Linked DNA regions of Sus scrofa. The protein of the gene in region 7 purifies or fractionates together with the protein of the main gene of each other region. This does not show direct contact. Links are inferred from orthologs where the notes say so. Each region holds a gene or a part of one and is shown on either strand. Other genes may lie near its edges. The genes, in order: INTS6, ARHGEF2, ECSIT, PPP2R2B, SIKE1, PRR14 and PPP2R1A.

Region 1 (3,500 bases), on a different chromosome or scaffold from region 7:
ATAGTATCAAATACCCAATCACTGCCCACAATCTCCAATTGCCACATTTTCTGTGTCTGTGGAAAGTTCAGGGTCCAAATCAGACCATAAACACACTGCAATTGATTTATATGTTTTAATCTATAAAATCCTTCTGTACCTCTTTTTTTCCATGCACTTTTTTTTTTTCTGGAAACACACACACACACACCAAAGTCTTTGTCCTATAGTTTCCCGCAATCTGGATTTTGCTAATTATATCTGTTTTGTAATTTAACATGTTTCTCTGTCCCTTATATTTCCTAAAAATTGGTACTTAACAGAGGCTTGATTAGATTGATGGTCAGTTTGTGTGTGTGTGCGTGTGTTGGGAAGAGGAGAGCAAGATGACTTTAAAAGTAATACTGTATAATTCCATCAAGAGGTATAATATTAATTTCCTTCCAGTTAAGACATTATTAGCCATGAAAGATCACCACCTGCAATTAACAAATCCATTAATTAAGAGTTTCCTATATCAATTCTCATTCTTGCCCACAATAAGGCCAGCCTGGTCTTTATAAAATGCTAATCAGATCAGATCATTACCTCTTTAAAACCTTTCAATGGATTTTCCTTGTCCTTAGAATAAAGTCTAGAATCTTTACAGTGGCTTCCAAGGCCCTCTATGATCTGGACTCTGCATGTGTATTTCAGTTCTCACCTTACCTCATCCTAACCCCTAATGTGTTAGAATTCTTTCAGCTCCCCTAATGTCCTGCTCTTTACTGTATGCCTTTGCACAGATTCTTCTTAGACGACTACTGTAGCACAGGCGAATGCACAGCTTTAGTTATTAACTAATTCCCATTCATCCTTCAAGTGGTCGCTTAAACATAACTTCCTCAGCTAAGTGCCCATAGACTATGTTAAATCCACTTGCTAAATGTTTCCCAACATACCAGACTTCCCTTCTGTAACATTCATCATACTTCCAGTGAAATGTTCGATGACTTTCCTTCCTCACTCATTATAAATGCGCACAGTGATCACTGTCTTGTTTACCACTATAACTCAGTGCTTCGCACTGTCGAAAATAGCATATCATGGAGTTCCCATTGTGGCTCAGCAGCACAAGGATCCGACACTGTCTCCCCTGAGGATGTGGGTTTGATCCCCGGCCATGCTCAGGATCTGAGCCTTGCCACGAGCTGTGGTGTAGGTCACAGATGCGGCTCAGATCTGGTATTGCCACGACTGTGGCCTAGGCCTCAGTTTCAGTTCCAATTTGACCCCTAGCCCAGGAACTTCCATATGCCACAGGTGTGGCCATAAACAAACAAAACCGTATCATTTAAAAATTAGTGGTTGAATTAAACTGAAATTGAAAACCATCTTTCTGTGGGTATTGATAACACCCCTTTAGAAAACTGTAGTTTTTAAATATTTAAGATTTGCAAATGATATTTTAGATCATGATAACTGTTAAACATAATAAGCACGAAATGTTCAATAACCGTTCATTTAAAAGATATAGAGAAATGCTTACATGCTAATTTAGAATAAACAAGTATCTTCTCTTGGACTTCATCGATTTTTTTCCGTAATATATTACAAAAATCTCTTCCGTGAAGAATCAAAAAACAACAAATAATGTTAAGGACAAACTCTTACCTTTATGAAGAGGAAGGGGTTTAATAAGATCTGGCTGTGCTTGAGTCATAGGTACAGGTGGCCCTTTTCCTCCAATATGATTGTTCACAACGGGATTCTGCTGTCTGCCTCTCAGTAGTGGAGACATACAGCGGCGTCTTTTAGGGATGCCTTGCATATTTGGTTCTCCAGGTCGTTTATGTTTATTCTGAGGTCCAGCCACAAATTCATCTGCCTCATCTATCATCATTCCCTATAACAAGAAAGAATATAATTTCCCTGTCTTTACATACAGTTTTTAAATGGCACAAATAATTCCAATTACCATTAAAATAACTATATTTTAACTATGTGACATTAGGTATTCTACCAGGAAAATAGCTTCAGCTTACTTGAGTTAGATTAAGAACTGTTAAATTCACAGTGCCTAGCACAAATAAATTATATAAATAACATTCCAAATTTACCTTTTTATCCAGCTTAAAGGGGTTGCCAAATGTATGCAACCTTCGAGGCTGATCAGGATCAAGTTCTCTTAGTGGAGAAGGTACTTGCTTGAGGTATTCCTGGTAATTCCCCATTTGTGCTATAGGAACACTGTGCACTTGATCTTTTCAAACAGAATAGAGCAACAACAAAAGTTAACCTCACTAAAACTACCTTCCATGTGGTTATCGAATAATATCTTCTCATGAAAACAACCTAAATGTCCATCGACAGATGAATGGATTAAGATGTGGTATATATACACAATGGAAAATTACTCAGCCATAAAAAAGAACAAAATAATTCCATCTGCAGCAACATGGATGGAACTAGAGACTCTCATACTAAGTGAAGTAAGTCAGCCAAATACCATATGATATCACTTATACCTGGCATCTAATTATGGCACAAATGAACCTTTCCACAGAGAAAATCATGGACTTGGAGAACAGACTTGTGGTTGCCAAGGGGTAGGAAGAGGGAGTGGGAGGGACTGGGAATTTGGGGTTAATAGATGCAAACTATTGCCTTTGGAATGGATAAGCAATGAGATCCTGCTGTATAGCACTGGGAACTGTATCTAATCACTTATGATGGAGCATGATAATGTGAGAAAAAAGAATATATACATGCATGTGTGACTGGGTCACCTTGCTGTACAGTAGAAAATTGACAGAACACTATAAACCAGCCATAATGAAAAAAAATTAAAATCTTAAAAAAAAAAAAAGAAAAAAGAAAAAAAATAGTGTCTCCTGATGTATGACTGCTCCCCGGAGTTACTGGGGGCAGTCCTCCCTTACCACATGGCCTACATTAGTTTGTTGCCATTATAAATATTGTGACAGAATCTAGAGATTTTTAAAAATAAAACTTAATTATCTTCTAAACAAAACAAATTTCACTGTATAGAACAAGCAATATGTTTAACATTTCCATGAAAAGGAGTGTCTCTTCTACTCTATTCCAAATAATTATAGCATAATTTACAGGAAAATGATGTAGATTACCCTTTTTATAGAACGCTTAGTTGAAATGCTTATATCAGAGTGGGCAAAGGGTTAAGTTCCCACCTGACTTGATTCGTAGTAGCTGCCATGGGCAGAGTAGAAGAAAATACCAGAATATGACATATTTTGGCCATTTAGAGTTAAATTATCGGATATTAGTACATCACAAGAAAACGATGTTGTTTGTGTCTGTGCCTATATGTGTGAATGTATAAAGAAAGCCAAAAAGGAAACTAAGCTGTTAACAAAGATTGTTACTTCTGGGGAACAGAATTGGGCACAACAGTGACGGCAGTAAGAAATGCAGAGAATGAGGGATGAGTCACTTTTTACTTCATTCAATGATTATGTAATACTACTGTAATAATTCTTTAAAAGTTACAGCAGCATTCT
Region 2 (3,500 bases), on a different chromosome or scaffold from region 7:
GTAACAAATAGGGGAACAGGGGCCTTTTAATGAGAGAGGAACAGAGATACCCACATCGACACAGAGACACAGACACAGAAAGGATGGAACAGAGAGTCTCACAGCACGACAGAGGCAGGATACCAAGAGTAGAGGACAGAGCATACAGACCCGGGGAAGCAGACAGAGGGGTACAGACACCAGATCCAGATTTGGTCAGATGGAGTCAGAGAGATGCCTGGGGACAGAGAGACCCAACAGCTGGGAGAACAGAAGAGGCACAGAGTGGTGGCTGGATAGGCAAAGGATCAGGGGAAGGGGAGGAAGGTGGTAGCTTCCATGGGGAGTTGTCTGTCCGTACCACACAGGAGGGTTGGCCTCCTCGGTGCTGCAGTTCCAAAAAGGGGTCCAGTTCCTCTTGGCTCCACTGTAAGGGGTCCTTCTGGGGGCCTTCGCATCCCGATGCCTGAGGTTTGTTCCTGAAACGCACATTGCCATCACTGGCCTCTGAATCCAGCGGCCTGTGACGGGCACCAGGGAGGAACACCGCCTCAGCCCAGCCCTGCTGCTTGCCCCCAGCCCAGCCCTTCCTGTTGGCTCAGGCACAGCCTAGACCCAAACTGGCCTCCCTTCTGGGACTGGGCTTTGGCAAAGCTGTGATGCTGACTGTAGGCAAGGGTGGCCCCTGCTGGTCAAAAGATAGTACTGCCGTCAGAAGAAAGCCAGCATTGTGGGGTGGGCAAGGGCAAGCTGGATTCCCACTCCTTGCCTAGTTTCTGATGCCAATCTTGGCCCCTACTCAGACAAATAGTGTCCCCAGGGTTCCGTTCCTTCTTTACCTAAAAGGGTATAATTAGGGCCTCTAGTGAAAGATGACACCTGGAAGATGCTGAGATACAGCCGGCACTGTGTAAGGGGTACTCAGGGCATCTCTGCCTTTGACCAGCTGCTCTTAGGAAGGTGTGGTGAGTCCTGCGGACAAAGGCTTCTCACCCAGGTTCCCACCTAAGCCACTTCAGGGACAAGAATCCTCTCCCATCACACAGCCCAGCCAGCCCTGCCCAGGAGCTAGAAAAGCTTGGTCTACTCACCAGCATTAAGACAACTTGTCCAAGGGGACCATTGCCAAAGCAGAGAGACAGGGCCCTTCCACGGCTAGCAGGCCCTCTCAGCGACCACTCACACTGAACTCTTCACACTGAGCCCCGGACCTTCTCTTTCTGACTTCCTCTGTCTTTGGGGAAGTGGTCAGCCAGGGATTTTCCAGGAGAGGGGAAGAGCTGGGTCCCTCTCTTCTGGTCTGCCAAGCACATGCAAACCCCTGCACAAGAGCAGCTCTTCCACCATTGCAGGGCCATTCTATGATGTCCAAACATCATGGACCCGCAGGCAGGCAGAAATTTGGGAAAGTGCCAGGTTCAACACTCCAACTCTTTCAAGAAACCTCCCAAAGTTCGCTGGGGCTGTTTCCTCATGTGTGAAATGAGGAGATTGTGCCATACGATCTCCAAGCCCCTTTCAGCTCTAACACTACTATATGTGGAAAGGCGCCACACCTCTCCTGCTCCATTTTCACACACCTTCCTTTGAGACCAGGTAGAAAGGAGGAGCTAGGACCACTAGGGAGGGCCACATTTTGCTTATTTTTTGGGGGGTGGGCTGTACCTGTGGCATATGGAGGTTCCCAGGCCAGGGGTCCAATCGGAGCTACAGCTGCCAGCCTACACCACAGCCACAGAGACACCAGCTCCGAGCCATGTCTGCGACTTACACCACAGCTCACGGCAACGCCGAATCCTTAACCCACTGAGCAAGGCCAGGGATCGAACCTACAACCTCATGGATACTAGTCGGATCCACTTCTGCTGCACCACAATGGGAAGTCTGAAGGCCATATTTTGAAAGGCAGGGTCCATCCTCCCTGGATGGACCAGGGAGGCCCACAACAGGCCTGGGTTCAGATTCTCCAGGGGAGAGACTAGGGGCCCAAGTCACTTCAACTCCTATTGTGCTTTCCAACCCTTTCTCCTAGGTCAAGGACTTGAGGGAAGGAGGGACAGGAGGTCCTCCAGTGGTTTACCTGCTCAGTGAATCCTGGAGCTCCCTGCCTGGTCCCCAACTATGTCTTTTGAAGGGGTCGTAGTTGTGGCTGTGGGCACGGAAAGCCCCCGACCTTCGGAGGGGTACGTCATGGAAACCATCTCCCTCCTTCTTTTTTTCCTCCTCTGCCTCCTCTTCCTCTTCCTCTTCCTCCAGCTGCTCTCTGGACTCTACCACAGACAGGCAACGGCGAGTGTGGCCTTGGGGCACTAGGTCTCCACCTGCGAGGAACACTTCTGGGACGTCTCTGTTCATGGGAGGTACACACAGTCCAGTCTGAATCAAGAAGACAGAGAAGGGTGAGCAGAGTTCTAGAATTCTGGAAACTTGGAACCAGAAAAGTGTCACAGTCAGCCAGGCTGAGATAATCTAGTCACCTCTCCCTAGATCTAGTCACTGAGGCGCAGAACTGGAGGATGGCTGGCTCAAGATCGCACCAGGAATCAGCTGCAGAGCCAAGTCTAGAAGTTTTTTTTTTTTTTTTTCAGGCCCGCACCTGCGGCATATCGAGGTTTCCAGGCTAAGGGCCAAATCCGAGCTGTAGCTGCTGGCCTACACCACAGCAACAGCCACGCCAGTTCTGAGCCACATCTGCTACCTACACCACAGCTCATGGCAACACCAGATCCTTAACCCACTGAGCAAGGCCAGGGATCGAATCCACATCTTCATGGATACTAGTCGGATTTGTTTCTGCTGAGCCACAACCAGAGCTCCCAAAACTTGGGTTTTCTGACTCCCAGTCTAGTGTTCTTTCCAGTACATAATGACATCCTCATTCACTCATTATTATTCCAGTTAAGGGCACCTACATGGCAGAAAAAAAGCCAAGCAAAGAGAAACTGATATTGTTCTTACGCTCAAGGAATTCATTCAAGTGAGTGTGTGTGCACATGTGCGTGTGTGCACATAGATAAAAACACAAATCACAAACGACTGGTCAGAGTTTGCCAAAAGCCACAAGAGATTTCAAAAAAATCCTTCATAGGAGTTGTCTTGTGGCTCAGCAGGTTAAGGATCCAGCGTTGTGCAGCTCAGGTGGCTGCTGTGGCGCAGGTTCGATCCCTGGACTGGGAACTTCTGCATGCCATGAGTGCAGCCAAAAAAGAAAAAGAAGAAAAAAAAGGCTTTGTGCTCCTAAAAGAATGGTGCATATAACCAGTTGGAGAATTCAAAAAAAAAGGAAACAGGAGGAAGTAAATAGCCTTTGAGGTGGGCCTGGAAGGGTGGAGTGGTTAGGACTTGGCCACGCTGGAAGGGGAGGAGTCTAGGCAGATAAAGCACCAGGAAGAAAAGGTGCCTGACTGAGAAAGTATTATGATTTCTTCCTTCTAAGACTCCGGTCATCTGGGAAGTCAGAGAGTCATTCTGACCTCTCCCCATGGAGCAAAGAGAAGGCCTCCAACATCAGCCACATTGAA
Region 3 (4,077 bases), on a different chromosome or scaffold from region 7:
ATGCTGCGGGTGTGGCCCTAAAAAGACCAAAGAGACCAAAAAAGAAAAGTACATTACATTAATTGGTTTTCAAATATTAAACCAATATTGCATTTCTGGGATAAATTCCATTTGGTCATGATGTATATAATCTTTTTTTATGTTGCCAAAATTGGTTTGCTGGTATTCTGTTGAGGATTTTTGCAACCATATTGGTAAGGGATATTGGGATGTAGTTTTTGTTTCTTATTGTGTCTGTTTGGTTTGGTATCAGGGTAATGCTGGCCTCATAAAATAAGTTGGTACATACTTGGATCACTCATATCACCCTTTAAACTTTCTCTAGCATCTCCTTCCACCTCTGTTCCACATCTCTGCTCTATTTATAGTACAGCTTTTCCCAAGAGGGGTCTACATGTTACTTCTTCACTGTCTCCAGTTTGGCTCTTGTCCCAGCCACTCCACTGACACCACTCCTGTAAAGACCCCTTGCACGTTCTACATTTAACAAAGCCAGTGGTTATTTCTCTGGCCTCATTTTGCTCAGTTTCTCAGAAGTATCTGGAATGGGTGATGCCCTCCTCCCACCTTGGCACTCTTGATTTTCTTCCTAGCCCCCAGGCCTGTTTCTCAGCCAATCAGAAAGACTGGCTTCCTTCTCTAAAGTGTGCAGTGCTTGCAGACTTGAATGTGCAGATGAATTGCTGAGAATATTGTTAAAATGCAGGTTCTGATTCAGAATGTTTAGGGTGGAGCCAAAGACTTTTTTAATCTAACAAACTTCTATGTGATGCTTAATGCTGTCTTTTGAGTAATAATGCTGCAAAGAGTCCTACACTTTGAACTTGTCTGTCTGCTACCGTAAGGTATCATTCAGCTTCCAAGAGAGGTGTTCTCTCTGTATTTCTGTAGGCAGCTCTCATAGTTCTCAAACCTTGTTCATTTCAGCATTATCTAGGAAGCTTTAAAGAATCACATGCCCAGGCCATACCCCAGATATATTGTATCAGAATATCTAGAGGTAGGGCCCAGGCATCAGCATTTAAAGCACTCCAATGACTCTAACATCCAGCTGAGATTAGACCTTAATCTAAACCTTTGCTATTCAGGGAGCAGCTGTATTGGCATCATTATTTGGATGCAGAATCTCAGCCCTAACCCTGACCTATTGAAGCAGAATCTGCATTTAAACAAAAGTCCACATTTCTCTTATGTGTGTTAAAGTCTGAGAAATGAAGATCTATGTGCTGATAGTTCCCAATGGTTATCACCATCCCTGAGCTCCAGCTTCCATACCTAACTGCCACTTTGGTGTATACCTAGCCATCTCAAACTTATTTTGCGCCTAACTTATGCCCCTGCTTAAACTTGTTCCATCTCATCCTTGCCTGATGTCATTACACCATCATTCCTAGTCAATCAACCACAAACCTGGTTCTGAGTCCACTGTGTTCCTCACTTCCCCAACCAATTCATCAGCTGCTCATGTTGCTACATCCAGATCCACCTCAAACAATCCCATTTCTCTCCATCTGCAAGCCACAACTCCAGTCCATGACCTCTCTTCATCTACCCACACTCCTTTCCTTACCTGCCTCCAGCCAGTTCTCCCTAAAGTGGTCATAGGGAGCTTTTTTAAAATGTAAACTAAAGTGTTCTCCGGCTAAAGTCACTAATTGCACATCACATGAGATAAAAATCAGACAGGCTCCATCCCTCCAAACTCAACTGTTATTACTGGAAGCTCCAGCTACACCATTTATTTCTCTTTTAAATTTTATTTAATTTTTATTTATTTTTGGCTGCAGTGTGCAGCAGCTTGTTGTGGGATCTCAGTTCCCAGATCAGGGGTTGAACTCAGGCTGCAGAGGTGAAAGCTCTGAATCCTAACCACTAGACCAACAGGGAACTCTCCCATTACGCTGTTTCTTAAACAAGCTGACTTTATCTAGTCTCAGAGCCTCTGAGGTTGCTTTTCCCTGTTTGGAAATTCCTTCCCCAGGTCAGTTCATTGCTGTGCCTGGTTATTCAGGTCTATATTCAAATGAGACGCCTTCCCTGACTACTGCCCCATTCCCAATCTAAAGCCCCATCATCCTGATGAATGAATTTTTAGCAATTAGCATCTGAAGTCACGTTTCATTTACTTCTGATTTGTTCAACGTCTAGCTCTCCTGAGACCAGAGATTTTTGTCTGTCTTCCTTTTTGCTGTCTCTTTTGCACCTGGGATAGTGCCTGCTATATAGTAGGTACCCAACAAATATCAAATGAATAAGAAGAGCTAAATTTCTACAAAGCTTCTATAAATCTGAACCCCTAGGCAGGGTGTACCTACAGCAGCTCTGAGGCTGGCTGCTAGGATTTTGACGCCCTTGGGAGAAAGAAGCGAACTTTAGCCTAGCTGCCAACCTGTGGCGTGACCTTGGGAGACGGCTTTAACTTTTCTGAGCCTCAGCTGTCTCATCTCCAAGATTAGAGATTAGGGATGTGGGGAGGCGGGTACACAGAAGGCAGCTCTCCTCGGAACGTCCCGCCGTGTACCCGAAAAGGTCACGGTGCCCTGGCCCCGGCAGCCGGGATCCTCCTGGGGCCGCCCTTCCGCGCTGCTGGCCCCAAAGGGGCTGCCCCAGGGCTCATAAATTCACGCTTGCCTCCCCGCGTGGGACCTACCTATTCACGCGGACGGCCGCGGAATCCGGGCCGGTTATGTCTTGCCCCTGGGCGCCGCCATGTTGCACGAAGATCTTCTGGGTCACGGGCCACCAGGGAGCCGGCAAATCAACAGCGCCAGTTTAAGAGAGGTCCCGCCTCGAAGAAAGGAGCACCAATAAAAAGGCGCAGCGACCTTGGCCCCGCCTCGTGGTGAGTCAGGCCCCTCCCCTAACGAGGCAAGCTGGACTCCCCACGAATGAGCGAGCTTGGTTCGGGAAGGAGAGACTGTGCGGTTTCGGAGCTGGGACATTGGACTCAGGCAGCGGGTGAACTCAACTGACAGTCCTAGTGCCCACCTGAAATACGGGAATGAAATATTAAAGGTCTAAGTAATGTGGATTCCCTCATTTTTTCAACGAACATTTGAAGGCTTACTGTGTGCCAGGCGCTGATTCGGCGCTGACGTTAGGGAAGAAGAAGGACTGCTAATCTAGCTCCTGGAGTCTGGACTAGTGCTTAACCTGTCTGTGCCTCAATAGTCTCACCTCTGAAATGGCCAATTATAATAACCTCGTAGAGGTTTTTTGTTTTTTGTTTTGTTTGTTTTTTGGGCTTTGTTTTATGGAATAATGGAGTTAATCTATGCAGAACAGCCATGTAAGCGTTTGCTACTGTTATTATGGGGGATTCACACTAATACCTTATTCCACCTCCCTCGCTTGGACGGTTGAGGATCCTGTAGGGTAGTGTGCATGTTCACAATTGTGTGTGTGTGCGTATGTGTGTGTGAGATTGCGATAGAGTGTGGATGTTTTCATGGGTTTTCGTAGTTTCTCAGAACTCAAACAAAGGTGTGTACGTTTGTGTGTGGCTGTATGAGGGTAGGTCAGGGATAGTCCCCACGTGTGTCAGTGTGGACATTGGTACATGTGGGACTTTGTGTGTCCACGTGTCAGTAGCTGCATGTGCACTTGTGATTGTATCAGCTTCTGGGTGTCTGTCATTCTGTGTGTGTGGAAGGATGTGGAATTTGTCCCAGAATTCTGAGGGGCTGGGATTAGGTGTGTCAACATTTCTTTGATGGTCCATGCAATAATGTGTGTGTGATTGCATGTCTGAACACTAGTGGGTAGATGACTGTGTTTATGACACCCCATGTGTCCCCAACTTGTGGATAAATGATTGTCCCACCATCAAGACACATGTGACTGTTATAGCCCTTTACATATCTGTGTGTGATTGTGTCTACCAGTGTGTGCCTGTACCTATATGAATCTCTGACTTCGTGTGTGTGTGTGTGTGTGTGTGTGTGTGTGTGTGTGTGTGTGAAACTCTGTGTCTCAGCGGTGGTATAAAGGTCTGACTGACAATGCCAATCTGGGGTGGTCTCTGATGTGGGATTCCATTATGTAGTTGTGTCCAGCTGTTGGTATGTGTTTGTAACA
Region 4 (3,500 bases), on a different chromosome or scaffold from region 7:
AGAGAGAGAGAGAGAGAGAGAGAGAGATGGAGAGAGAGAGAGAGAGAGAGAGAGAGATGGAGGGGGGAAGGGGAAGAGAGAGAGGAAGGGAGAGGGTAAGAGAGAGAGAGAGAGGGAGGGAGAGAGATGGAGAGAGAGCCGGGGTAAAAGTGTCCTTTAGCATTTGCATTGCTCTTAGCTGGATGAACTTGCCTGCAGCTACCACTTACAATGCAAATTGAGCTTAGAGTCCTTCGCACTAACTACACAGCAAAAATCTTTCAGCTTTAAATAGAATACTGCAGTGTCGAATGATCTGAGTTAACGGAAGAAAAATTCAGAGATAACTGTGAAGGAGATTTGAGAGACAGAAAAAAATCTGACATATCTGGGCAAGGCAGGAAAAGGCAGAAATATTACAGGAGACAAAAAGAGAAGCCAAGTCTATAGAAGGACCCAGAAACTAATTCCCCAGAAGGTGTGTTGAAGTTAATAAAGAGGAAGAGAACTTGGGGGCAAGCCCCCAACGAAGAGGATTTTAACAAAGAGTACTGTGACCTGGAGCTCTTTCAAGGTGTACAAGCACTTTGAAGATATTCATCCATAGAGGAGACTCTCCCCACTCTGGCCACCAGAACTGCATGAATGGTCCCTAAAATGCAATTAGGGGTTGCAAGTAGAAAGGCAATTTACATTGTCCACATTCCATTTTCTTTTCTTCCCAGACCTTCACTAAGATCAGGTAAAGACACCCGGAAGGATATGGTGAAATAAAGGTTTATGAGTTTTAAATGTGGTGTGGGGGCGGGGGGTGGGGGAAGAGGGAGAGACAGTGGGAGGGGAGTGATCTGAGAGGCTGATTTGGAAAGATTTTAGAAAGTTCTTTGCTATAAACTCATGCCTCCTTTTGGACAATATGAACCCAGATACTGTATGTGATATTGTATCTGGTTCTACCAGGGCATATAAAAATGCGATAAGATAGGAAGGAAGATTAGGAAGTACCTAGGGCCCTGAAAGCAACAAGGAAAGCCATGTGTAACTCATTTCTTCATTCTATAGATGACACTCTTACACACATGGCCTCAATTTTCCCATCGTCCCAGCTCAGTAAGTTTCCTTTGCCTGTACCTGGAGGCGTAATGCAATACAGAAGAAAACATGAAGGCAGCCTCCTATCTTTGTTGTCTTGAATAGGAAAAAAAAAAAAAAAAAAAAAGAGTGTGCCTTAGAAGACAATAGACCCAAAGCCGACTTCTCTTTTGGGTGACATGCTCAGGCAAAGAGCTAACCATGTTCACTGGTGAGTCAGTGACAAAGCACTGAGACGGGGGAAGAACATATACAACCATGCTGGCACCAGGGAAGTAAAAAAAAATCAGCAAGTATGATGCTTGGTATGGGGTAGGAACATCCTAAAAGCCATCTCCCAGCTTCTGAAGGCCAGAGCTCATACAGTCTGCCCTGCACCATGGACGTATTGGGTGTGATGCTCTCCAATAATGATGAATGAAGCACCTTTATTTTCAATAGCGCTAGCCATGCTTTCTGTCTAAAACTTCCAGGGATGTCTACAGCAGATGCCACCTCTACCCTCCAATTGTGTGTCTTTTTTATTTCTTTCAGAACTTGAACTCTTTTACCACCCCCATTCGATTTGTCTAGTAGACTTGATGTGATTAAATACTGTAGAAATTTGAGCACCTAAGAATAACAAGAATAATCTTAAATTAGCACGCCATGCCACATTTTCCTAAAGGACTTTCACACACATTTTCTCAAATGGATACTGCAATGTGACAACGCAACGCCTTGGAGGAGTGGTTAAGGATAAAGGCCTACAGGTGGAAAATGAAAGCAAAAAGGCAAAAGTTGGGGTATTTTTTTAAAAAATGTCTCCATTCTCTATTCCCACACAAAAGGCAAATGAGATTCCACCTGCTGACTTTCCTTTCCTGCCTACACCTCACCCAGGCTAATGTCAGAACAAGCTGGGGGAGAGGGAGAGAGACGACAATTTCACCTCTTGGCAAAGCTCAGCTTACTGAGCCCTCTTGCTTTCTGCTGGCTGTTGATTCAGCAGAAACTACCGCTGCAGAATTCATAATGGTGATTTTTAAAGGCTCCACGGATCGCATCGCTCTCCCACGTGTCAGACTCATTCGCTTGCAGCCCCAACCCTGGTTCCCCAGCCACCTTTCGATACCTTACTAATGCACTTCCAAGAGGAGAGGGGTTCGCCCTTTTTCAGGCCTTTTGGGCTTTTGATTGTCTGAGCAGGTAACCCGGCCGGATAGATGAACCGGCAGGAAATGAAACCGTGCCCTCCCTGCAGCCACTGAGAGACGCATCATTCCGCTCCGGGAGGGAAGACTCGCGGTTTTCTTGGGCCCCTTTCCTTCTTACCTCCCCACAAGACCTCTGCATACGTCTAGGGGGAGGGGTCAACCGCCTTTGGGGGGGGGGTCATTTTTCCAGCCGGGAGCCCCACCCTGAAAAACCTAATCCCCGAGGGCCATTTTAACTCCCATGGGCGCCGGGTCCACCTGCTGCTGAACGCCCGGCCCGCCTCGCGGAGCCCGGATGGATGTGCGGCGCTCCGTCGGCGGCTGCCCCTGCGGGCCGAGCCCCCGCCCCAGCCCCGGGGCCCGGAGGAGTCTCGGCCGCTACGCGCCAGGCTGCCAGCGGAGCTCAGCGATCCGCAACTTGCGCCCGGCCCCAGCGGCGGAATGCAGCGGGGGCTGGCGTTACCTTCGGTCGCATAGCTGTGGTCGCGCAGGAAACTGTTGTTGATTTTGCGGGTATCAATGTCCTCCTCCATTGACAGCAGGCTTACTTGCGTGGGAACCAGAAGCCGGCAGACAAGTATCCATGATCCCTCCCCGCAGCCAGTGTCACAGGAGAGGGGGGCAGGGGAGCCAGTGGGACTGCACCATGGTCCGAGCCTGAGGAGGAGACGGGGAGGCGGAGAGAGAAAAAAAATAAAAACCCGGCAATGGAGCTGTCACCTCCTCCACTCGGGATCTCCGAGGCTGCGGCGGCGGCTCCTCCCGCGGTGCGCTCACTCCAGCTCCAATTCCCAGCGAGGATGCTGTGCCTGCCTCCGCTGCCTCCGGGTGCCAAGATGCGCCGTGCCCCGAGGGGTCTGGTCCCACCCGCCGTCCCGGAGGCGCTCACAAGCGGGGCTAGGGAGATGCCCAACAGGTTCCCCTCGTTGGCAGCCGCTCCAAAATGCAAAAAAGATCCCTCCTCCCCCTGGGAGAGCGGGCAGCCGCGACAAAATGGTGCCTTTCTGGACCGAGCTGCAGTGGCGAGATGGCAGGGGCAGGATTCAGGCTGGCCTGGCCCGGATGAGGGTGCTGGTCCCACGGGAGGGCGGCTCCTGCTGGCGGGGGCTCAGCAGCCGCGGGGAGCTGGGCAGGGCGCTGCGGCCGGCGCCAGCGCACTCACCCTCACACCCACTCGCGCGCACTCGCAGCAGCTGCTGCTGCTGCTGCTGCTGCTGCTGCAGGAGGAGGCTG
Region 5 (3,500 bases), on a different chromosome or scaffold from region 7:
AAGCAAAAACTTGAACCTTGAAGGAGACAGAATTTAGTTTATATTAAAAACTTGCTGGGAGTTCCCTTTGTGGCTTAGGGGTTAACAAACTCAACTAGGATTCATGAGGATGTGGGTTCGATCCTTGGCCTCACTCGGCATTGCTGTGGCTCTGGTGTAGCTTGGCAGCTGAAGCTCCGATTGGACCCCTAGCCTGGGAATTTCCATATGCCGTGGGTGCAAGCCTAAAAAGCCAAAAACAAAGCAAAACAAAACTTGCTAAGAGATGTGACCAAAGATACAATAAGATACCTTGGAATGTGGTAAGTTTGGTGCCAATAAAAATATTTGAATTTAAGTTAAATAGCCATTTAGAGATACTCTCCAACATGCAATGAGTGTTTAGACCAGAATCGATTTTCTGGAAACAAATTACCTGTGAATATCACAAGGTAACTTTATTGTGGCTTTATCTCTGAGGACTGAGATTATAGTGAAACTTCTGTGTAAGCTCTGTAACATAGATTAAGTGAACTTTTAACATCATAGTGCACATGTTCTCATGAACTTCCTATCTGTAAAAAAAGATGACTTTTCCACCTTTTTTTTTTTAATATCATCACAGGAAATTGAGAGTCAGATTGACAGAATCTGTGAAATGGGAGAAGTGATGAGGAAAGCAGTTCAGATGGATGATGACCAATTTTGTAAGATTCAGGAAAAACTAGCACAATTAGAGGTAAAATTGTTGCTATTTTAGGTTCACAATATTTTTTGTTGTTATTGTTTGGTGGGGGTTTGGGTTGTTGGAGATTTGTGTGTGTGTTGTTTTTGTGTGTGTGTGTGTGTGTCTTTTTGCCTTTTCTAGGGCCGCTTCCTAGAGGTTCCCAGGCTAGAGGTCTAATCAGAGCTGTAGCCAATGACCTACCTCACAGCCACAGCAGTGTGGGATCCGAGCTGCGTCTGCAACCTACACCACAGCTCACGGCAATGCCGGATCATTAACCCACTGAGCAAGGCCAGGGATCGAACCTGCAGTCTCATGGTTCCTAGTCGGATTTGTTAACCACTGCGCCACGACGGGAACTCCTGTGTGTGTTTTTTAATGGAAGCACCTGTGGCATATGGAAGTTCCCAAGCCAGGGACTGAATCTGAGCCCCAGCTCCAACCTATACCACAGCTGCAGCAATTCCAGATCCTTTAACCCACCATACCAGGCCAGGGATCAAACACATGCCTCCACAGCAACTCAGACTGCTAAAGTTGGATTTTTAACCTTCTTCACCCCAGCGGGAACTCCAGGTTCACAATAATTTAGGGAGTTTTTAGAGTCTGGAAGGTATGTCTTCACTGTCCTATCACTGCAGTGTATTGATGTTTTCTCTGTGCTCTGATTTAAAATTAAAGCACATCTCCTGGGAGTTCCCATTGTAGCACAGCGGAAATGAGTCTGACTAGTATCCATAAGGATGTGGCCTCGCTCAGTGGGTTAAGGTTCCAGCATTGCTGTGAGCTGTGATGTAGGTCCCAGGCATGGCTCAGATTCTGTGTGGCTGTGGCTGTGGTGTAAGCTGGCAGCTGTAGCCCCGATTCGACCCCTAGCCTGGGAACTTCCATATGCCATGGGTGTAGCCATAAAAAAAAAAAAAAAAAAGCACATCTTCCTTACCCTTTTCATGAAAGGAAATGTAATCAGCAGCAAACTGAAGATGCCAAGTATGTATTGGCTAGAAATTGAGATGTCACATCAGGAGGGCAGAGAGAGGACAAGGGACAGATTACATGTAAGCAAAAAATCCCTCATCTGCTGCAAAAAGATTTCAAATAGATAATGTCTAATATTTTGATTAAGATGGGAATAATTTACAAAGAAGAGCCTGGGATGTTAGTGTTCCCGTAAAATGGTTAAGCAACAATGTTGTAATAGATGACTTAAATGTTCCTTATTACAGGGTGCTGTCATGGACCTTTGACGAATATGAGCAAGAAAAAGATAGGGTCCCTGCTCAGAACCTGATGAAAGGAATTGTACTAGTACTTGTTTTGGTACAAAATGGTATATAAATGCTAAAAGAGAGACACAGGGTATTGAGGGAAGCACTTTGTATGGCAAAAGTGTTAATGAGCATGGGCTCTAACCCTTAGTGAAACCTGAAAATGCTGTGGTTTACTTAGAATTTCCTGCTGAGAGAATAAGGGTGAAGAGTGCAAGCGGCCCTATCTGAAAATCAAAGGGAGTGACAAGGTCCCAAGTAGGAACTAGGAGTTAGTTAAAATGATAGAATGACCTTGTCTACATCCCTAATTTATCTTAGTTATGGAAACAGGCCTAAGGAAATGTGTGACACATTTTACTTAATACTTTTTGTTTTTCTTTTTCTTTTTTTGCTTTTTAGGCATATGGAAGTTCCCAGGCTAGGGGTCAAATCAGAGCTACAGCTGCCTGCCTACACCAGATCCGAGCTGCATCTGCGCCCTACACCACAGCTCACGGCAATGCTGGATCCTTAATCCACTGAGCGAGGCCAGGGATCGAACTGCAACCTCATGGTTCCTAGTCGGATTCATTTCCGCTGTGCCACAACAGAACTCCTACTTAATACTTTTAATGCTGACAAACATGGGTATTGGATTGAGGCCCCAGCAATATGACATCTGAGTTTGAACAAGTTTTGGGACTTCTGTAAGCCACAGTGTCCTCATCTCAAAGAGAACACAGACATAGGCAATGGTACCTACCCTCTGTGTTGTATGAGATGATGTATGCAGGATGTCCATGCAGTACCTTGCTATGTGCCCGATAATTCTGCTCCGCATTTCCTTCCTTTCTCCAAAACTGTCGGACATCTAGGAGAGAAAATTGAGCAGAATGAAAGTGTTGTTAGGAATTGAAGAGATAAAAGAAACAAAAGTAAAACTTGTGGGAACTATGAAGAGTTTGACAACCAGTCAGTTCCTGAAGTGGAGAGGGACCTTGTTTTTTCCTTGTAGTCCTAACACATGGCATATAGAACTTACTCAAATTCTTAAATGAATTTTAAAAAATAGTATTTTAGGAAATTCTCAGTTCTTTTGTTTCCTCGAAACTTTTAAAATATTTAAAACAATATGCTTTCTGGAGTCCTGTTGTGGCACAGCAGAAACAAACCCAACTAATATCCATGAGGACACGGGTTCAATCCCTGGCCTCACTCAGTGGGTCAAGGATCCGGTGTTGCCATGAGCTGTGGTGTAGGTCATAGACGTGGCTCAGATCCAGCGTTGCTGTGGCTGTGGCGTAGGCCGGCAGCTGCAGCTCCCACTTGACCTCTAGCCTGGAAACTTGCATATGCCACGGGTGCAGCCTGGAAAAAAAAAAAAAAAAAAGGAAAAAAAATAACAATATGCTTTCTGTTTCAGGGCCAAAACAATGTGTTCTGATAACAGTTTGACAGTCAAAATACCTGACATTAACAATGTACTTTTTTTTTCCAGCTTGAAAATAAGGAACTTCGAGAGTTACTGTCCATCAGCAGTGAGT
Region 6 (4,074 bases), on a different chromosome or scaffold from region 7:
TGGGACGATGAAGTTGGGCGTCTCACCGGCAAAACCCTGGATGTAAACAGGGGATGTTCGTGGGCAGGCAGGGAAGGCCCCTGCGGCTTCTTTAGCTCCTCACACTCCGAATCTCTCAGTCGCCAGAGGCCTGCCTAGGTTCACGCTAAAGGCTTTTTCATATAGGTCTTTGCTCAGGCAGAGGTCTCTTTCACCTAAAACTGTTCTCACTCTGAGCAAAATCCACCCTAGGAGTTCCTGTTGTGGCTCAGCAGTAACGAACTCAACTAGTTTCCATGAGGATGCAGGTTTGATCCCTGGCCTCGATCAGTGGGTTAGGGATCCAGCGCTGCCATGAGCTGTGATGTAGGTCGAAGATGTGCCTTGGATCCGGCATTGCCATGGCTGCAGCAGATTCGACCCCTAGCCTGGGAACTTCCTTATGCTGCATGTGCGGCCCTAAAAAAGAAAAGGAAAAAAAAAAAAATCCACCCCCGACTCAGCCCTTTTACTCTGTCTTCCATGCCCGCTGGAGCCCCTGCCCCCAGCTGAACCCCCAACATCATTCTCTGAAGTTCGCATACCTCAACCGGGGCTCTGCGGCTGGCAATGTCTTCTAGCATCACCACCAGAGTGGGCTGGGGGGCCTGGTCCACCTTTTGTGAAGGGCCTTCCTCTGGGCCAGGTGTTGGCTTTGAACGCCGCCTCAGGGTGGAAGGGGGCCGATGGACACGGCTCAAGGGCTCTCGGCATAAGCGCAGTGGGTCGGGGGGCCTAGGGACGGAACAGGAAGATCAGTAGGGCTCAGCTGGGTTCCCAGCTTACCCCTCATCCTGCCATGCTCACCTGGCCTGTGAGCACCACGTGGCTTGTCGGGGTGGTGAGGCAGGTGGCTGGCTTCGGGCGGAATCCTGATGGTTGCTGCGGTGCCGTGGGGTGGAGATCTCCTCTTGGGGCACCAGGGGAACCTAGGAGAGGAGGAGGTGTCGAGAGCAAGGTGACGGACAGGGCTTCCCTGGGCCTAACAGTGTCCTCTGCCATACAGATGGCAGACATCGTGCCTAGAATTCATTCGCGAGCCCAAGAAGTCAGCTGAGCTGAATTAAGGACCAGATAATAGAGTGTCTTGAGCTGCTGGTGTGGGACTTGGGTAATATTCACCCAGGTTTCTTTGTAGAAATGAAAAGGAGAAGGTACCCAGAGAGAGTCACTGCCCTATTTGGGGCCTCAGTTTTTCTAATCTGAGCAGTGGAACCAAAGACCTCAGCCTGCTTCCTAAGGGTTGTTTAGAAGTTGGGCTGGGAAGAAAGCAGAAGGGTTTCTCATACTTAGAGTCGTAGGGACGTGGTTTCAGCCCAGCAGAGTCGGTGGTGAGGAATGGGTCCAGGAGACCCTACCCACTTCCAGGTTAGAGTAAGTGAGAGCCGAGTGGGAGGCTGCCTGATGGATGAGTGTGAGAATGAGGTGTTTGTTATCCTCATTAAAGAACGGGTTTGGCTTTGGTACCCAGGAGACGGGAGGGAGAAGGGGGCCTCTCAGTTCAAGGGGCTCACCATGTGGGCAGCCATGACATCTTCCAGGACCACAGCCAGGACCCGCCGAGAGGCTTTTTCCAAGGGCGAAGGGGCCCCAAGGGGCTGCAGTTTCGGCCGTTTGGGGCTCCTGGCTCCCCATAATGCTCGAGCCAGAGGCTGGCGGCACAGACGCTGCCGGCCAGGCGGGCTGGAGGTGGAGAGAAGCAGAGGACGGTCCTCTAAGCCTGTTGTTGGCTCTGTGGTTTCCCCGGTACGGCCACCAGGCTCCCCGTTTCCCGGGCTCAAGACAGGCGGGCGGGGTGCGCTCTCACCTGGAGTCCCCGGGCAAGTCCATGGGGGAAGCGGCGGCTCCGGGGAGTCCCTGGGGGATCCCAGGCTCCAGCCTGGGTTTGGGGGGGAGCGGGGGAGCGGGGAGTGAGGGCCAGCCCCTCCCCTGGGGCTCCGCCCTTCATGGTCCGCCCGAGGCTCCCAGTAGCCCAGGGGCCGGAGCCCTGGGGCTCGGAAGGGCGCCCTCGTCTGGCCGCCGGGAACGGGTGTCTTCCCGCTGCTGCCGCGATCAGTGGATCACTCGCGCCCTGCCTGGCCGCGAGAACCTGGATTGCAGCGGCCCCAGTTCTCCCACGGCCCAAGCCTCCTGGGGCCTTTGTCCCTTCAGATTCTGCCCTGAGATCCCCCGGGATCAGCTGGGATCCCGGTCCTCAGAGGCTCAGTTTCCGCCAGATCCCTCTGTAATCCTCATCCACTCCCAGTGAGTGGGCGAGGACTCCGAAGGAACACTCCCACACGCCGACGGTTCCCCCCCTACCAGATCCCCTAGACTGGATCCCCGCTGAAAGAATCCTATAGCGCGGTTCCTCCAGTCAGACGCCGCGCGAGGATCCTCCTCTCCCCGTGAGCTTCGGCTCCACAAAGCTCCACTCAGAAAGGGGCTGCCCGAGCTTGAGCATCACAAACTCAGTCCGGATCCCCGGGGATCCACTGTCAAGCAGATACCCCCTTCACTCCAATCCCGGGAGGTCCCGCCCACAGACCCCCTCCCTCCGCCCTCCCCGGATCCCCGCCCAGCGCTCTCCCCAGCCCGGGACCAGATGGTTCAAAAGTTTCCTTCCCTCCCTCCTCCCGCCCTCTCTTCAGCCGCTCGGTGCCCTCCCCCGCGCGCCGCTCACCGCCGCCTCCCGCGGATCCCGGGTCTTCGACGGCTCCCACCTCCGGCTCCTTTAAAACTAGCCTTACCCAGCTCTGCCCAACCGCCGAGGGCCTTCTTCTCAGAGCCTTTGGGCAACGCCCAATCGCCGGTCGCCGTCTTCCGGGGTGGTGAGAAACTAAGTGAAGCCGCCTAGCGGCCATCATCCCTAGGGGCAAGAAGCCAAATTGGGCAGCGCCGCCATTATAGTTGAGGGCAGATAGCGCTGTCCTCAGTGGACCGCAGTGGGCCGGATGGCGTCATCTTTTCCGGCCAGTGAGTGGCCGAAGATGATGCCAAGGTTCTTGAGCTACTGAGGCAACTGTCATGAAGCTAGAGTACCGCCACGTTTTTTAAGGGCATCTTCCGGTTCTTTCGTACTTGGGCCAATAAACGTGAACTGAGTGCTAACGATATGTGAAATTCCCAGTTGCCTAGAGAGGCCCCTTTGAAGCCTTTTCCAGTACCATCGTGGGTTGCTGAACCGGGTTCCCGAGTTGCACGGAAGTGTTTGGCAGCGGGTGGCGGGGACCAGAGACAGGCTGGTGCCACCTCCTGCTTCTCTGGTTGCGTGGCGTCCTGGAGGGACTGGGCTGAGCGGGGGTGCGGAGGAGGCTGGGGCGTTGAGCTTCACTTCACCCAAGGGTTGTGTACCTCTTCCTGGAGGAGCGGGGGTTTCTGCCGCTGGCGCTGGGGGCTCAGTATAGAGGTGCTAGTGCCAGGAGACCAATAACAACCTTGGGGTGCTCGGTGGGGTGCGGCCGCTTTCCTCTCTTTTCGGGCCTCCCCCGAGCCCTCTTTCAAGAGGGACCTAGCTGATGGGCTGTGTAATCAGTCCCATAGTAGTAAGGGACCAGGGATGGAATCCTGCTGCTTAAAGGGGCTTCATCCTGAAACTTTTATACCAGGAGCCAGCTGGTGGTGGGGAGGTAGTGGCTTCTTGCACTGTGAAGGCACCCTCACCGCCTAACCAAAACTCATGCCTCCACTCCTTCCCCAGGATTCCCTGGTCCAAGCTAGTACTTATTTTCTTGCTGGAGCAAGAGAGCCTGAAGCCTAGAATCCTGCGTCTGAGATGACGGTGCACAAGTGACCTAACCCAGCCCAGCATGATTCTCGCCTATGAGATTAAATGATAAGAGTAGTGACACAGGGATTTCTCACTGTGGCTCAGTGAATGTGGACACGAATTTGACTAGCATCCACGAGGATTCGAGTGCGATCCCTGGCCCCGCTCAGTGGGTTAATGCCCTGGCATTGTCTCGATCTGCGGTGTAGGTTGTAGACACGGCTCAGATTCCACATTGCTTTTGCTGTGGCTGTGGTGTAGGCCAGCAGCAGTAGTTCCAATTCAACCCCTAGCCTGGGAACCTCCAT
Region 7 (2,465 bases):
CCTGACTGAGGCGCCACAGTCAGCAGAAAGGGAGGCTTCGGCACAGCGCTGGTTAGGACATTGCTCAGTGGGACAGAGTCGCGGGCACGGGCGCAGCCCCTCCCTCGTGTGTGTGACAGCAGGTGCCACTGCAGTGCGTTGGGGGCACCGTAGGTGTTGGCGCAGGGGCTGGGTCAGAAGGGCTCACCTGAAACAGGCTCCGTCCGCAGGGCTGGGCGAAGAGCGCTGGTGTGGGTGGCAGGGCGGGAACCCTCGTGTGTTGCCAGTGGGGCTGTGAGTGGTAGATGGGCACAGTGACTGAGCATTGGTAGCATCGAGTGGAGCCGATCCAACGTGCACCCTGTGAGCCAGCACGTCCTCTCCTGGGTGTTCGTCCAAGAGAAACGAGTGCTTTTTTTCTAGCAAAGGCCGTTCACGGGGGCTTTATTCTCATTAGCCGTGACTTGGAAATAGCGTACGTGCCTGTCTCGAGCGGTGCCTGGGTTGTGGGCTATTCACATGCTGAGAGGCTCGTCCTGCAAAGATGAGACGCCTGCTGCCTGCAGCAGCCTAGGGGACTCAGGTGGGCACTTGCGTGAGCAGCAGGCCCAAGAAAACCTCTCCTGGGATCCGTTTATGTCACCTGCAGACCTAAAGGGCCCTCTTGGTGAGAGAGGTGAGAATAGCGGTTATGTTGAGGGCAGGGCAGCTGCCTGTCAACTGGAGGGGGACGCATGACGCCTGCACCTCTGACCTCTTTGTCTGGGACACAGCTTCACACCTTTAGTTTCTCTCTGAAGCCCACCTGCCTTTCCCGCAACAACGGGCCATCTGCCAGGATGCATTTCCCTGGACCCCTTCCTCCCTGGGCCCCTATCTCCTCTGGCCCCTTGCTCCCCTGGCCCCTTGCTCCCTTGGCTGGAGGCCGAGGGCTGCCCCCTTTGCCACGTGCCCCTCCTGTTCCTCATCATCAGTTGGCTCAGGTCTCCCTCCCAGCCCGGCTCCGTGTGGGTGAGAGTCAGGGTGGGATTTCCAGTGTTGACACCTAACTCGCCGCCCGTCAGCCTCCGTAAATGCAGTACATGAATGAAAGGCATCTGGTGGCCAAGGCCGGAGACCCAGGGCATCTGGGGTCCCTGCCCAGGTTTCCAGGCCCTCCGACCTCCTGCACCTGTTCTGGGCCCTGGAGGCCTCTGCCGGGTTCGTCAGGCATCCAGCCTTGGAAGCGATCGTCTCTCTGGCCTCAGACCTGGAATTCACGCGTGTGTCTGTCTGTGGGCACCTCGGCCCCAGCCCCGCCCGCCTGACCCCTGGCCCCCTCTCCTCCCAGCACGCTGCAGAGCGAGGTCAAGCCCATCCTAGAGAAGCTGACCCAGGACCAGGACGTGGACGTCAAGTACTTCGCCCAGGAGGCTCTGACTGGTAAGGCGTTGAGGACGCCGGGCCCCAGCGGGAGGGTGGGCTGCCAGCCCGGTGGCAGAGGCGGGGGCAGCGGAGCGCAGAGGGGGGCGGCTGTTCTGACTCCCGCCTCTTCCTGTTCCCCCAGTTCTGTCGCTCGCCTGATGCTGAAGAGGAGCCATGGCTGCCTGTGGTGTCACCCTCCCCTGAAGTCCCTCCCTCGGGAGACAGTGGGGGGCCTTAGGCTGTCGCCCCCCGTGCATGGTCTGACCCCAGGCCCCTCCCCCAGCACGGTTCCTCCTCTCCCCGGCTTGGGAACCCAGCTCGTCACCGTCCGCCTCCCAAGGGCTGGGGGTGCACCCGGAGGGACGGGGCGTGACCCTGGGGGAAGGGCCTGCTGCGGCCTGCGCTGGGGAGAGACGTGAGCAGCCCAGGTCGCCGGCTCCTGCTGCTGTAATGGGGACCCCTCCCCCATCGACTTCTCCACCCCCTTCCTTCCCCTCCGTGGTTTTTTTGTGTCAACTGTGCCGTTTTTATTTTATTCCTTTCCCCCCCTTTTCACAGAGAAATAAAGGTCTAGAAATAGCTGGTCCTCTGGTCCTGGTCACGAGCGTGGAGGTGGGGCACCACGTCAGGCCCCGCAGCCTGGCCTTTCTGGGGAGGACCTCGTCACTGCGCTTGCCGCACTGCGTGTCCCCAAGAGGGGTGGGATGCGGACGGGATTGGCCGGCCCACAGGGCCAGCTGTCCTGAGGGGCAGCTGCTCCACAGACGCGGAGCGCGCAGAGCATGTGGTGGATTTGAGCAGGTGCCCCGGAGCCAGACCGCCTGCGTCGCATCCGAATCCCAGTTCCTCCGGGAACAGCTGCGTGCCCTTGAGTGGGTCGCCAGGTCCCTCTGAACTCAGGCTTGCACGCTGTCAAGTGCAGGAAGCAGTAGAATCCAGATCCAGGGGCCGGGTATGGCGGCTACATGAGTTCATACAGGTCAGGTGGGTCCCTTGGGTGGCACATGAGAGGGTCAGTCAGGGGAGCTGCGCCTTGCGGGAGAGCCCCCTGTGGGCCGGGAGGCTCAGGATAACCAAGCTGT

The links.
Region 1: the proteins of PPP2R1A (region 7) and INTS6 purify together in Homo sapiens (affinity purification with mass spectrometry; 4 studies listed by BioGRID and IntAct, with this or other methods). This does not show direct contact. The link is inferred for Sus scrofa from reciprocal best matches to the Homo sapiens genes PPP2R1A and INTS6.
Region 2: the proteins of PPP2R1A (region 7) and ARHGEF2 purify together in Homo sapiens (co-immunoprecipitation; 3 studies listed by BioGRID and IntAct, with this or other methods). This does not show direct contact. The link is inferred for Sus scrofa from reciprocal best matches to the Homo sapiens genes PPP2R1A and ARHGEF2.
Region 3: the proteins of PPP2R1A (region 7) and ECSIT purify together in Homo sapiens (affinity purification with mass spectrometry; 3 studies listed by BioGRID and IntAct, with this or other methods). This does not show direct contact. The link is inferred for Sus scrofa from reciprocal best matches to the Homo sapiens genes PPP2R1A and ECSIT.
Region 4: the proteins of PPP2R1A (region 7) and PPP2R2B purify together in Homo sapiens (co-immunoprecipitation; 9 studies listed by BioGRID and IntAct, with this or other methods). This does not show direct contact. The link is inferred for Sus scrofa from reciprocal best matches to the Homo sapiens genes PPP2R1A and PPP2R2B.
Region 5: the proteins of PPP2R1A (region 7) and SIKE1 purify together in Homo sapiens (affinity purification with mass spectrometry; 6 studies listed by BioGRID and IntAct, with this or other methods). This does not show direct contact. The link is inferred for Sus scrofa from reciprocal best matches to the Homo sapiens genes PPP2R1A and SIKE1.
Region 6: the proteins of PPP2R1A (region 7) and PRR14 purify together in Homo sapiens (affinity purification with mass spectrometry; 5 studies listed by BioGRID and IntAct, counting the BioPlex papers as one, with this or other methods). This does not show direct contact. The link is inferred for Sus scrofa from reciprocal best matches to the Homo sapiens genes PPP2R1A and PRR14.

Annotation. Positions count from the first base shown.
Region 1 is NC_010453.5:16,455,276-16,458,775, reverse strand, and holds part of INTS6 (integrator complex subunit 6), read right to left. Parts: intron 2,222-3,500; coding exon 2,079-2,221; intron 1,865-2,078; coding exon 1,633-1,864; intron 1-1,632. UniProt on the Homo sapiens protein: Component of the integrator complex, a multiprotein complex that terminates RNA polymerase II (Pol II) transcription in the promoter-proximal region of genes.
Region 2 is NC_010446.5:94,032,891-94,036,390, reverse strand, and holds part of ARHGEF2 (rho guanine nucleotide exchange factor 2), read right to left. Parts: intron 2,356-3,500; 5' UTR 2,335-2,355; coding exon 2,060-2,334; intron 1,208-2,059; exon of another isoform or gene 1,077-1,207; coding exon of another isoform or gene 1,071-1,076; intron 459-1,070; coding exon 341-458; intron 1-340. UniProt on the Homo sapiens protein: Activates Rho-GTPases by promoting the exchange of GDP for GTP.
Region 3 is NC_010444.4:70,167,963-70,172,039, forward strand, and holds the start of ECSIT (evolutionarily conserved signaling intermediate in Toll pathway, mitochondrial), read right to left. Parts: upstream 2,801-4,077; 5' UTR 2,651-2,800; intron 1-2,650.
Region 4 is NC_010444.4:148,230,826-148,234,325, forward strand, and holds part of PPP2R2B (serine/threonine-protein phosphatase 2A 55 kDa regulatory subunit B beta isoform), read right to left. Parts: exon of another isoform or gene 2,925-3,500; coding exon 2,731-2,924; intron 1-2,730. UniProt on the Homo sapiens protein: The B regulatory subunit might modulate substrate selectivity and catalytic activity, and might also direct the localization of the catalytic enzyme to a particular subcellular compartment.
Region 5 is NC_010446.5:105,782,796-105,786,295, forward strand, and holds part of SIKE1 (suppressor of IKBKE 1), read left to right. Parts: intron 1-604; coding exon 605-718; intron 719-3,454; coding exon 3,455-3,500.
Region 6 is NC_010445.4:17,748,581-17,752,654, forward strand, and holds the start of PRR14 (proline-rich protein 14), read right to left. Parts: upstream 2,801-4,074; 5' UTR 2,681-2,800; intron 2,554-2,680; exon of another isoform or gene 2,320-2,553; intron 1,898-2,319; 5' UTR 1,849-1,897; coding exon 1,826-1,848; intron 1,702-1,825; coding exon 1,533-1,701; intron 948-1,532; coding exon 826-947; intron 754-825; coding exon 564-753; intron 37-563; coding exon 1-36. UniProt on the Homo sapiens protein: Functions in tethering peripheral heterochromatin to the nuclear lamina during interphase, possibly through the interaction with heterochromatin protein CBX5/HP1 alpha. Might play a role in reattaching heterochromatin to the nuclear lamina at mitotic exit.
Region 7 is NC_010448.4:57,929,020-57,931,484, reverse strand, and holds the end of PPP2R1A (serine/threonine-protein phosphatase 2A 65 kDa regulatory subunit A alpha isoform), read left to right. Parts: intron 1-1,309; coding exon 1,310-1,401; intron 1,402-1,525; coding exon 1,526-1,542; 3' UTR 1,543-1,965; downstream 1,966-2,465. UniProt on the Homo sapiens protein: The PR65 subunit of protein phosphatase 2A serves as a scaffolding molecule to coordinate the assembly of the catalytic subunit and a variable regulatory B subunit.